3 linked regions of the Ovis aries genome follow. The protein of the gene in region 2 interacts with the protein of the main gene of each other region in a pairwise test. Links are inferred from orthologs where the notes say so. Each region holds a gene or a part of one and is shown on either strand. Other genes may lie near its edges.

Region 1 (4,270 bases), on a different chromosome or scaffold from region 2:
TAATTGAGCTCTTTACACACTAAGAACTAAAAAAAAAAATCCCCCAAAGAACCAAAGGTCAACACTTCACTGCTAAAGTCAAACTAGGAAAAAGAAATATTTTTTCAAACATTCCAAGAATAAGCCAACATTCTGTTTAAAGGAACTAGAATGTTGGAACTCTGGGCAAAAGGGTAGAGGGTAGGATGGGAGTAAGACAGACGAGGAGGTCCTCTGTTTTGTAAGGCCTAATTCACTGGGCCAATAATATGATGCTATGATGGGACTTCTACAGAGAAAAGGTGTGGGAACAGCACAAGACTAAAGCTAAAAAAGAGAGCTGAAAAAAATCAGCTACCTAAAGATTTTAAGTCATTTTGAAAGCCTTCTAATGTACTTGGTATGGAGAAACAAAACTCCTTAATTTCTTCTGAAAATCGTAGCTCTGCTACACCTCCCTCAGAGTTCTCACTACAGTTCATGGTAGAGATCCAAACTCAGGTTCTACCCTACATATTCAGTATATATTTTTCAGTCTAGAAGAGCTAGTCTCAGCTGAGATTAAACTTGCCCCTAGGGCATGTTTGAGACATTAGTTGGAGGCCAAAGATTCTGCTAAGCTTCCTATAAGGCACAACACAGCTTTCACAACAAAGAGATATTCCATCCAAAATGCCAGTAGTGCTAAGTTTGAGAAATACTGATCTCTTCTGAATATAAGCAAACACCAACTCCTTGGACCCTTATCCTTGTCTATTTCTAATAGACATCTATGTAAAGCATATTACCATACCAGAGGACTCATTTTTCAAGGCTTTAAACAAACATGGTGGATAGCTGGCTCAAAATGAGCGTCACACAATACACTGAAATAATACATCAGAGCAGGAGTGCACAAACTGCTGAAGAGAACTTTTCAATCCTTTCTCCATTTTTGTCTGAAGCACATTCCATTTGAAAGAGGAGCACCTATATGTTCCCATACCAAGGTATGTCCCTTCTGTGTTCAAGATACTAAAAATATATTGCCTTCCTCAAAAGACTATTTCTTATTAATGTAAAAACTTAGGTAAACAGTATAAACTGAGAAAGATTTACTTTGGGTAGGGGGAGGTGTGGAAAAACCACCAGGTCTCTAAAATGCAAAGTTATTTCACAGTTTACTTGTAGAATGACTCAGATCATTATTACTTTTAGTCATGCCAAGTTTGCAGCTTCTAAGCCTACTAGTAATGGAGAAAAAAACCCACCATTTTTCCTGCACTCATTAAACCAATGAAACAGAAGCTTACTGAAAATAGGCTTGTGCAATAGTATTTATTTTATTATAACTGTTACAAAAACAAAAGCAGTCGCTGCAGTGCAAACAAAGATTCTGAGAAATCTTTCACCTACTTTGCTACCTATAGGTAGGGTGGTGTGGTGTGTTTGCGGGGGGTGGGGGGGCGGGGCAAACAAAAGAAAATCCTAACTCACACATCAAAAATCTTAAACTGTGAATATTTTCCAAATGTATCCCTCAATCAAAATCCTGGATTACTCTTTTCACGTTCCCTTCCTTCAAACAGCTGGAAAAGACCTCCGCAGAGCGTTTTACCACCAGAACAATACTAAGAACAAATAAAAGCCTTGCGTCGACCTGGCAAATCTCATTCATCAGAAGCCCTGGCAGCAGAGGAGAATCCTGTTGTCCCGTGTGACCCATTCACACCTTTCACATCGGTTTTACTGAAGCCAGTTACCCAACTTTGGTGGTTCTCATATCCCCACAGTTATTTTTAAAAATCCAGCATAGCCTACTTCCCCTACGCAAGGTAAATGTAATCAGTGCTCCTTTAACACTTACTGAGTCGCCATAGGAAGTTCACCAGAAAGACACAATTCAACCCTAGGGAGGCCCCACAAAAGGTGCACTGATTTCACAAAACGTGGCACTCTTGACATCCTCGAGGAAACCACAACCGCGATACGATGCCTTGTACGCAGGGTTTTAGTGCGGGGGGTGCTCTTCTTTCTTTTTCGCCAATGCCCTTTCATTTTGATAAAGCTGAGCTAACTTAAAAGAAGGGGGCTTCCTTGCGAACCGCTCCTGGGCTCCTGGTGAAATTTCACACCAGGCACGCGAGTGAAGTCTTGCCGCGCCACCGGCGAGTTCTCCGCGGCCAAGGGAGCAAAGAGAAGAAGACCGAGGAGAGGGGCCCCCGCCTCAGCTCTGCGCGGCACAAGCTCGCGCTCCGAAACCATCCTCGGACGCTACACGATGCGCCCTCCGCCGCTTTGGCACGTCCCCTCCGGGTTTCCCAACGCCAAAGAGCCCAGCACAGCCGCGCCCGGCTCTGCCGCCCGAACCCCGGGTTCCAGGCCCACCAGGCGCCCAACCCGGCCCGGCCGCCCTTACCGAGCAGCAGCAGCTTGACCTCGCGCGCCGCCTTCTCGCCATCCTCCCGGAGGTTCCGGTCGATCATCTTACTCCGCTCCACCGCTGCCTTGTCCTCGGCGCTCAGCGTACAGCCCATTGTGCCAGGAGCGAAAGCTGGCTGCCGCTCCCTCCAAGTCCGGCGCGCTGCCTCGAAACACAGGTGAATTCTTTCTTTCTGGATGCAGGCGTTCGAATTCCTCCTGACGCCGGCCACGCCACCCCTACCTCCTTCCGAAACTGAGCGAGGGCAGCGCTCTCTGCCGAAGGGCGAGCAGCACCGCGCAGCTCTTTTCTACAGTCAGGCTCTACTCCTCGCCTCCCTAGGCGCCCCCTAAGACCAGGTTCCTAGGCTCTCGGAGCAGCTGCCAGCGGCCTCCTACTGGTGGCCGCGCTGCAGCCTCTAAGAAGCCCAGCTCGCCGAGGCGTCCGCGCGCCGCCGCGTCCCCGCCCCTGCCGCCCCGCCCGCCGCCCCGCGACCACTCCCAGAGCGCGCGCCCGCGCACGAGCCCTCGGACCTCGCCCCCTCGGATGGGCGCGCGCACCCGCGCTGCCGCGGACCCTGGCGCCGCACAGCCCGCGAGGGCCGGCCACCCGCGCGCGCCCGTGGGAAGCGCCCCTGGGAAGCGGCCAAGGAGCCCCAAACCTCTCGGGGAATTCCTCTACCTGGCTTCCTCCTCGAGAGTGTGATAATTTCTTCCCATTTACTCACACCCAGGGATGTGTGCGGACCTGCCCCTTGGGGTGCGGGTGGGAGAGCTGCCAAAGTTGGAAACCGAAAAAAAACCAGTCCTGGGCGTTTGAGCATGCCCAGCTCGGGCGGGCGCGCGAGGGTTTTCAAAATGCAAACCCGTGTTAGCGGGCCTTCATGGCGGTGGGAGATAGAGCGAGCTGGTTTGGGAATGGAGCCATGGAGAAAGCCGAGCAGGTGAAGTGGGGAACAGAAAGTCCCGGGAGGACAAGAGGTCAACTTTCTTCCTTTTTTTTTTTTTCCTTCTCTCCTCCCTCCTACCATCCATTTTCACGTTCCTTTCCACAGGCAGAAAACATTTTGAAGGATTTCCTCAAACCTGAGAAAATATGAGACAAAGAATCAAAGAGTATATTTTTAAAATAAGAGCCAACACACCCACACAAACAAAACCCCTCCTCACCGTAACTGACCTCCTCTGGGGCGACATAGAAGCTTCCAAGCCAAGTTCTGCACCAATATTCATGACCATGTTAGTAAATCAGAAGCCACTGGGCATGTCATTCTTTATTGCAGGCTTTGGCTTCCTGAACCATAAAATGAGATGGAACTGATCCACACTAGCCTCCATCCTTCCAGCTTTACCTGGTCTGGGAGAAATCACTTCTGTGGGCGTTGGAGGCATCTCACCCAGCGTGTCATCAATGAGCATAGGCTTAAGATCTGGTCTCTGTCAGTTGCACTTTTCCTTACAGATATCACAGGAAATGTTGGTTGATTATAAGACTGGGTTGGTAGCAAAGAAAAACGTCTTCTTTGATGTGTTATATTAGGTAATTGCTCTAACAGAAACCAAAGAGCAACCATTTATAAGTCTTATTTTCTAAAAATAAAAATAAAAACTTTGTTTAAAAAACTGGGCTTGAGTTTTCCAAGAAGGTAAGGCTGAGCTGATGCTACAGGAAGGATAGCCTTAGAGTGGGTCTCCTAAGGAAGGCCTGGGGCCTGGGAGAGATTGCCAGTTTCCTCCTAATTGGACATGCCCTTTCCTGTTCTGCAGTAGTCAAACATGCTGGGCTCAAGAACTGCCATTTCAAGAACTGCCTCAGGTTTTCCTAAGGTCTTTTGCAAGATAACAGCAAAAAGGAGCAAGCTTTGAATTATAATGAATCACCTTTACCCTC
Region 2 (4,058 bases):
GCCGGGGAGGAAGAGGAGGGGAGAAGGGAGGAGGAACAGGGAGGAGCTGGGGGCGGAGAGAGACGCACAGAAACATAGGAACTGAGACCGAGTGGAGGAGGGGACGAGGGCGGAGACTAGCCCGTGGGGAAAAAGAGGGAAGGGCCCAGGGGCTGGACTTCTGTGGCCTTGAAGCGGGGGCGTGTTGGAGGCTGGGGGTTCTTCCACCCGGGTTCTGAATCCGGGATCAAGCTGATGACGACCCTGGCCGCTGGAATGCCTGGGTTCACAGACAGCTTAGTTCATATTTCTTATCCTAATGACTCCCCTCCCTGTTCTACTTAATTAAAACCAGGAGAGGGGGGCTGGGGGGGATAATTAGGGAGGTCTCCAGCCGCTGCTTAATGAGCCAGTAATTAACCAGCCAGGGAGGGGAGCTGGCCTCTGGCCAGACTCGGGAGAGCGGGCAGCCTCCGGCCTCACCTACCTACCCTCCACCCGGCCACCCCAGACACCAGTCTTCAGTCCAGAGGGGGATCACATTTATTCATATAACCAAACATCAGACAGTTCAGAACAGCAGTGGGGAGGGAGGGGGGGCAGGGCTAAATGTCCTTTCACAGCCTGTAGGCCTGGGGCTAGGGGGTGCGGGTGATGGAGATGTGAGAATGGTCTTTATGTCTTGCCGTGCCCTCTCTTCCTTTCTTCTTATTGGGAAGGAGGGTGGAATTCCCAGGTCAAAACCTTGGGAGATTTGCCGTTCTTTTGGGAGATGGAGGACAGAACCCTGAGATCCCACCTGGTAGCTTGACTACTGGGGTTGTTCCCACAGCTCAGGACGGAGACTCTCAGGCACTCCCTGAGATCAGAAGAGAGGGTGAGGTGTCCCACTGAGGCTGGGATCCTCTCATAGCCTCATAACACACTTGGTTATGGCGGGAGTTATTATCCATCCTACCTTGGCTATTCCTAGGCTTTGAGACTTTCGCCCGCTCCACTTCCCAGGAAAGGTGGATGAGGGTGATGAATATTGAGATTTCTGCTGGGTCTTCCAGTCTCTGGTGCTCCTCCCCAGCAGGGGTGAGGGCATGAGTGGGGCTGCCCAGCTTTTGAGCCCCAGGAATGCAGAGGGGGTGGTGGGGGCTCAAGTCTCAGCAGGTGTGTGTGGGGGGCCGGGACCTTTGCTCCTCCATTCGACCCCCACCCTGAACTCTCAGCAGCAACTCCAAGAGCTCCTGCCCCCCTGGGGGTAGAGGAGGCTCTGACCGCTGGGCTTCCATCCGCTGGCACTGGAGGAGTAGAGGAAGAGGAGGTTGATGGTGAGGTTTTAAGAGGAGCAGGCCTTGAGAGGAGGCAGGGCTGGTGTGAGGGGCATAAAGGACACCAATGATGTGGGGATAGGGAGAGTAGGCGAGGGGGCAGATGCCTGGGGAGAAGGAGGGGTAGGACCCAAGAGAGAAAAGGGGCCAGAACCAAGAAGCCTGGGTCTTGCCTTCTGGGGGGAGGGGCAGGGGTTGTCTCACCTGGTGACTGATGATGGTGCTGTAGAGCTGTTCTCTGTCCTCAAGAGGCCGGGGCAGGGCTCGACCTAGGCTTGGGGGGTTCTTGGGGGGATGGAAGGTGGCTCTCTGCTCCTCTAGGCGGCGGGACTGGGCCTCTGCTACCAGGTCCAGAAGGAGCTCGGTCTGCAGGGAGAGCAGGGAGGCCGAGCGGGGCCCCAGGGCTGGGGAGAGGAGGCGGGGGCTCAGATCCAGGGAGGTTGGCAAAAGGAGTGGTGTGTGTGTGTGTGTGTTGGGGGTGTCAGGGCTACCAGGGTGTGATGGGGAGTTGGAGAGGGTTGGGGAGAGAGCCCCTGACGGAGTGGGCCTTGGTAATAGGATCAGGAAAGAAGTGTGTACCAGGTCAGGGAGCTCCCCAGAGCGGGGCTGGGGGTACCTGTAGGGCGAGTCCCTGGAGGAGGAGGGGACGGAGGGGCAGACCTCCAAGGCCGAGTGCTGGAGCTCGCGGGGGGCCAGCCATGCTCATCCTGATGGGGGCCCTGATGCTGAGAGACATCCGTTCCGGTCAAGTGGGGGTGGGGTGGGCAGAGGGCTAGGCCAGCAGCCCACTTCCTCTGTGTCTCTGTTCCTGCCTCAGTGTGCCCAAACCCGTCCAAGTCCCCGGCGTCCACCGTCACTCAGTCTCTGCCCCAGGTCCTCTCACCTCTCTCTCTCCCAGTGTCAGCCTCCCCAGCCCAGTGCCGAGCTCACCTGCTCACCATCCTCTTCTTCCTGGGGTCTCTCAGCCTCCATACCCTGGAGGGGAGAAACCGATGGGGGAGGGGGTAGCTGGGATTTGGGAGGAGGGCCGGAACCCTGAGTTCCTGAGGGGAGTAGGGGCCGAAAGGGGTGGGGGTGAGCCGGGGGCTGGATGCCTGGGTACTGAGCAGGAAGCTGGGTTCCTGGTCAGCCCCCCCACGGGCCCCGCCCATCCCTGTCAACTTCCTCCAGTTCTCTTTTCCCACCCAAACTGCTTGCTTGACTTCTCTTGCCCCAGGGGAGCAGAGAGACTGGGAAAAGCTCCTCCAGCTGCAGCAGTGGTGGGGGTTCAGAATGGGAAAGGATTTTTGGCTTTCTCATCTCCAGAGCCTCAGTAGCCCCCTAAACCCCAGCTGTGTTCCCTCCACCCCCCTCCTCCCCTTCAGATCTGTCAACACAGGAACTAGCTACAAAGGAAGTGGTTTCACTCTTCAGAATCCCCCCAACCCCCCCACCCCACCCCCCACCCCACCCCCCACCCCCAGGTGCCTTCTCTAAGAAGGACCCACCCCCTGCTTCCCAGCTTCCCTGACTTACTGGGATGGTGAGGGGCATGTTTCCAGGGGTAAGACAGATCCAAGGATGCCAGGCCCTCAAACATACGTATATCCCTAGCACTGTGTTTAAATGTGGGTTGAGTAGTTACCATTGCCCTAAAGGTGCTTACAGTCTATTCAGGGTACAAAATATGCACCAAATATAAGACACGAAGGGAAAGCTTTCCTCTCATTGTGAAATGGAAAAGGGAGAGGACCACAACCTGACTTGGGCTTTGATCAATGCTGGTCAGACTGGCTGGCACCAAAGTGGGAAACAGGACAGAGACATTTGGGACCTCTTAGTGGCAAACTGTCACACTAGCTGAGTGACTTAGAGCATGAAATATGATGAAGAAAGAGATCAGGTTCTGCCACTTAATGCCTTGCAATCTTGGGCACATACAATCTTTGTGCCTCAGATTCTCGAAGAGTAAAAAGGAGTCCCCCCCCCATTTATACTGTTGATATGAGGATCAAATGTGATAAAGCATTTGTCCTGTAGTGAATGCTCAATAAATAGTAATTATTATTAGTTTTCAAAATGCTTCATGCCTGTGTGTTTCAGGTCCATCGCCACGAAAGAGGCATAACCCTATTGCTGAATGGTAGTTAAAGTTTGATGCTCTCTCCATCTCCCTCTACTTGAGGCCTCAGGAATCAGATCTAAGTGGCTATAACAAAATGCCCTTCCAAGAGGGATGAAGAGTATGCATGTGTGTGGTTTCTCACTGGATTACTAGAGACTTAAGATGATTCCTTAAACTAACATAGGACCCCAAGTCTTATTCTTGCTCTTAAAACTATGCTGAAAGCTTCCATCCACATGTTGAACCTAGGGCACAAAATTCTGAAAACATGATGCAGTCAATTTCATATTTTTTCCATTCCCCAACCCCAAAAGACTGTAACACTTCAAATCATCTTTATTATGGGGTGACAGATTTGGGGTTCTTAGAGATAGCGGTGGCTAGAAGGGTGGCACTTCATCCCTGCAGTAGTTTGTTTGGGGGTAGGGTGTGGTGGGGAGAATGCAAGGAATCATCAGTTGGAGTAACCCTTGGCCCTGTCTTCAGCGCCTACACAGTGCCTGGCACACAGTAGGCGCTCAATAAATATGTTAGCGGTTTGCGGGTATTGGGGATTTCAGGCGATAGAGGCTCCCTTTGGGAACAATATACAGAAAAGAACATCTCACATTCTGTCAGTTTGCAGCTCTTGGTTCAAGGGTACTGCCTGTAACCCC
Region 3 (3,716 bases), on a different chromosome or scaffold from region 2:
ATTTATACCCTGTTAACCATAAGGAGATATGACAGCACACTGAGTATATGGACAGGATTAGGTCTCTTATTAGCTAGTCCTTATTCCCACTTCCCAAGCTTCAAGAATTATAAAAATAAGGACTGACTCAGCTTTTGTATTATCAGTATCTGACTAGTTTCCATGATTGCACATCAGTGGTTTTAAGACTTCATGGTCTGAGACTTCTCTTGTGGTGCAGTGGCTAGGACGACGCCACACTCCCACCGCAGGAGGCATGGGTTCAAGCCCTGGTCGAGGAACTAAGATCCTGCATGCTGCGTAGCACAGTCAAAGGAAAGAAAAGAAATAAACCCTTTCTGGTCTGTTTTTCATTAATAGTTAATCTACTTTTACTTTTTGCTACTGACCTATATCATCCTTTGTTTATTTCTCAGAACCGAATGCATGAAAGCATGAAGCTCTTTGACAGCATTTGTAACAACAAATGGTTTACAGACACTTCAATCATTCTGTTTCTCAACAAGAAAGATCTTTTTGAGGAAAAAATAAAGAGGAGTTCATTAACTATCTGTTATCCAGAATACACAGGTAAAGGGTCATGAAAGATTTTGTTGGAGGTATACATCTTGAATCAAAACTTTCATGACCTTCCTACAGCTGTCATTTGTTTTGAATATTGTATGTATCTCCTTGTGGAGAGTGTTCATTTGTAGTGGTATCAGCATTAAGCATGTGCTTAAGACCCCTGAAGTCTAAGGTGCTATTCCAGATATAATCATATTTATGATGTTTATATTTCTGCCCTCATTTTTTGAGGTAAAGAAAGATAAAAATTTGATATAAATATATTCACAAAAAACAAGGATAAGATAGAGTTTTGCACTCAAGAAACTAACATTAGTTATAGAAAGAGAGAGAGAGACACACACACATGTAAAGAGTTTCATTTTAGTGTGAAATGTTCATTAATAGAAGAACCAAAGAAGTGGTTACCTCAGTGGGATCAGTGTAATCTTTTTCTAGAGGAAATGACACTTGGAGTGAGAGAGTAGGAGGATGAACTAGAAATCATCAGGCAGGTGGGGGAGTAAAAAACATTTTAGGAAAAGAAAATAGCATATATAAAAATCTGCAGTTAAAATTGACATTATTTGTCATAACTGCCATGACTGGTAAGGACATCAGTGGGTTCACTTGAATTTAAACCAGCTCTAGATAGGAAAAAAATCTCAGTCTCCTCATTTGCTACTCCAGTGGAGAGCACATCTCATATTTTAGAACAAATAGGGGTGCCTTGCTTAAATAAAAATAGCATTTAATGTATAATTGTGTGAAAGGTTTATGGGTAAAGCTGTATTTTTGCAGCATTGTGACAGTAGCTTCTGCTTTAATATTAAACAGCTTGTTATTTAAATACTGGATCAAAATGGTTGGCTTCAAAATGTCATCATTAATTAACTTCATGTGCAAAAAAAGAAAAAGACATGATTTGTTCTGAAACCTAGGAGGAATTTAAAATTGCTGGAGCCTAGACTGTGGGGAGGAGTGGTTAGAGAAATGGGCAGGGATGCTTGTAGAGGGCATTGTATGCCATGCTGAGACAGGGGAACTGTTGAAGGATATTCTTTGGGGTACATGATGTAGTAGGAACTGATTTTAAAAGATTACATAATAGATGCCAATAAAGATAGATAGTAGGGGAGTTGAATTAGTAAGGACTTTCAGTATACACATTGAAACTTTTGGTGAAGGTACAGAGATACAGAATTCAGGGACAAGAATGCAGATGGTCCTCGAGAATGCAGTTAGAATTAGGAAATATTGTCAGAAGTCCTGGAAGCCCTTCTTTCCCCATCTTTTTTCTCTTCTGTGTCTTCTCTATTCTTCTCTCTCTCCTTACCAACTCTCTCCTGTTTAGTGTATATGATAAAAGTTGGCCCTGTCATGGTTACTGTATCTCCTCCATTTAAAAAACCAGGCTAGATTGGGATTTGTTGGCCCAAGGTTCAGATTGATTGGCCAAGGTTAAGTAAGGCAAAAACCCTTAGCTCAGTAAGTTGAGGTTAGGGTCAACAAACGTGAGCACTAGGGCTGTATCATTATGACCTTTAGATCAGAATTAAGTGTTTCTAGGAAAGTAGACCTCTTGTTAGCTGAGCAGATGCTGTAAATGCTTTCTATAATAAGGTGAAAGGGTGTAGCTAGGGTAAGGAAATGGAAAGAGTCAGAGATACTCTTGATTGGTACTTGGTACGTTCCTAAATATAAATTCATTTAGGAATGTTAAATATGAGTTCATATTTTGGAATGTTGGTTTTGAAGTTTCTGAAACATCCTGATAGAGATATTTAATAGATAGTTATATATATGGCCTTGGAGCTTGGGGAGAGGTTAAAGGTTAGTAACAGATACTGATTTGGGATCATGTGTAAATACAACATGAAAATGGATGAGATGACCTAGGGTGATGATATAGAATGAGGAGAGAAAAGAGTAGGATGGGAGCAAATACCAGCCTCTGTTGGCAGGAGAGAAAGAAAGGTATGTATTGGATATAAAGAGAAGAATCTGGAAAGCTGAAGTGTCATAAACTAAGAGGAGAGTTTAAATAGTGCGGAGTGGTCAACAATGTCATATGCATATTTTGAAAAAATGTCTTGTGGAGCTAGCAGTTAGAAGATCATTGACTGTTAATGGAGAGCATTGTCAGTGGAATGAGAGCAGAGCCAGGACCAGTGAGTTACTGAGTGGGCAGTGAAGAAATAAAGACAAGTATAGCCTCCTCTTGAGCAGCTTAGATAACAGGGGAAGGAGAGATCTTTAAATGTTTATAGGCTTAGAGTAAGATCCTAAAGCAAAAGAGAAGTTGTTAAAAGTAGATGTAATTAATGGAGCAAAATTTGTAATCAGGTGGGAAAAGAAGGAATCAAGAGTCTAGGTAGGATGGATGGATAAATAAATTAGTATATCTGTACTATGGAATATTATTTAGGTATGTGTGTGTGTGTGCTCAGTCGCGTCTCTCTCTTTTTGACCCCATGGAGTGCAGCCTGCCAGGCTTCTATTTAGCTATAAAAAGGAACAAAGTATTGATAATGCTACAACTTTGATGAATACTATAAACTTTATACTAAATAAAAGAAGCCAAACAGAAAAGGTCACATTTGTATGATTCCTTCTATATGGTATATCCCAAATAGGCAGATCCATAGAGACAGAAAGCAAGTTGGTTGGCAGGAAATTGACACGGGGGAATGAGGAATGGTTACTTAATGGGGTATTTTTCTGGGGTGGTAGGAAAGTTTGAAACTAGAGAGAGGTGGTGGTTGTATAACATGTGACTGTACTGAATACCACTGATTGTAAACTTACTGCATGTTATGTGAGTTTCATTTCAACTTAAAAAGTTGAGATGTAGTTTTAAAGCCCTGTGACCTCTCTCTTCTTAGAGAATTTAGAATTGCAGCCTCTGTTAAGAGTGAGGAGGAAGATGAAAGTGAAAGTGAAGTCGCTCAGTCGTGTCCGACTCTTTGCGACCCCGTGAACTGGGGCCCACCAGGCTCCTCCGTCCTTGGGATTCACCAGGCAAGAATACTGGAGTGGGTTGCCATTTCCTTCTCCAGGGGAACTTCCCGACCCAGGGTTCGAACCCAGGCCTCCCGCATTGCAGGCAGACGCTTTAACCTCTGAGCCACCAGGAGGAAGATGAGAGTTGGTTAAGTTTATAAAAGGTA

The links.
Region 1: the proteins of GPSM3 (region 2) and GNAI1 interact in binary tests that used the Homo sapiens proteins (3 or more experiments, as listed by UniProt). The two-hybrid records come from large-scale screens. The link is inferred for Ovis aries from reciprocal best matches to the Homo sapiens genes GPSM3 and GNAI1.
Region 3: the proteins of GPSM3 (region 2) and GNAI3 interact in binary tests that used the Homo sapiens proteins (3 or more experiments, as listed by UniProt). The two-hybrid records come from large-scale screens. The link is inferred for Ovis aries from reciprocal best matches to the Homo sapiens genes GPSM3 and GNAI3.

The regions. Positions count from the first base shown.
Region 1 is NC_056057.1:42,546,185-42,550,454, forward strand, and holds the start of GNAI1 (guanine nucleotide-binding protein G(i) subunit alpha-1), read right to left. Parts: upstream 2,801-4,270; 5' UTR 2,496-2,800; coding exon 2,378-2,495; intron 1-2,377. UniProt on the Homo sapiens protein: Guanine nucleotide-binding proteins (G proteins) function as transducers downstream of G protein-coupled receptors (GPCRs) in numerous signaling cascades.
Region 2 is NC_056073.1:26,270,941-26,274,998, reverse strand, and holds GPSM3 (G-protein-signaling modulator 3), read right to left. Parts: upstream 2,654-4,058; 5' UTR 2,450-2,653; coding exon 2,229-2,449; intron 2,024-2,228; coding exon 1,915-2,023; intron 1,703-1,914; coding exon of another isoform or gene 1,665-1,702; coding exon 1,503-1,664; intron 1,269-1,502; coding exon 1,131-1,268; 3' UTR 505-1,130; downstream 1-504. UniProt on the Homo sapiens protein: Interacts with subunit of G(i) alpha proteins and regulates the activation of G(i) alpha proteins.
Region 3 is NC_056054.1:86,823,387-86,827,102, forward strand, and holds part of GNAI3 (guanine nucleotide-binding protein G(i) subunit alpha-3), read left to right. Parts: intron 1-416; coding exon 417-570; intron 571-3,716. UniProt on the Homo sapiens protein: Heterotrimeric guanine nucleotide-binding proteins (G proteins) function as transducers downstream of G protein-coupled receptors (GPCRs) in numerous signaling cascades.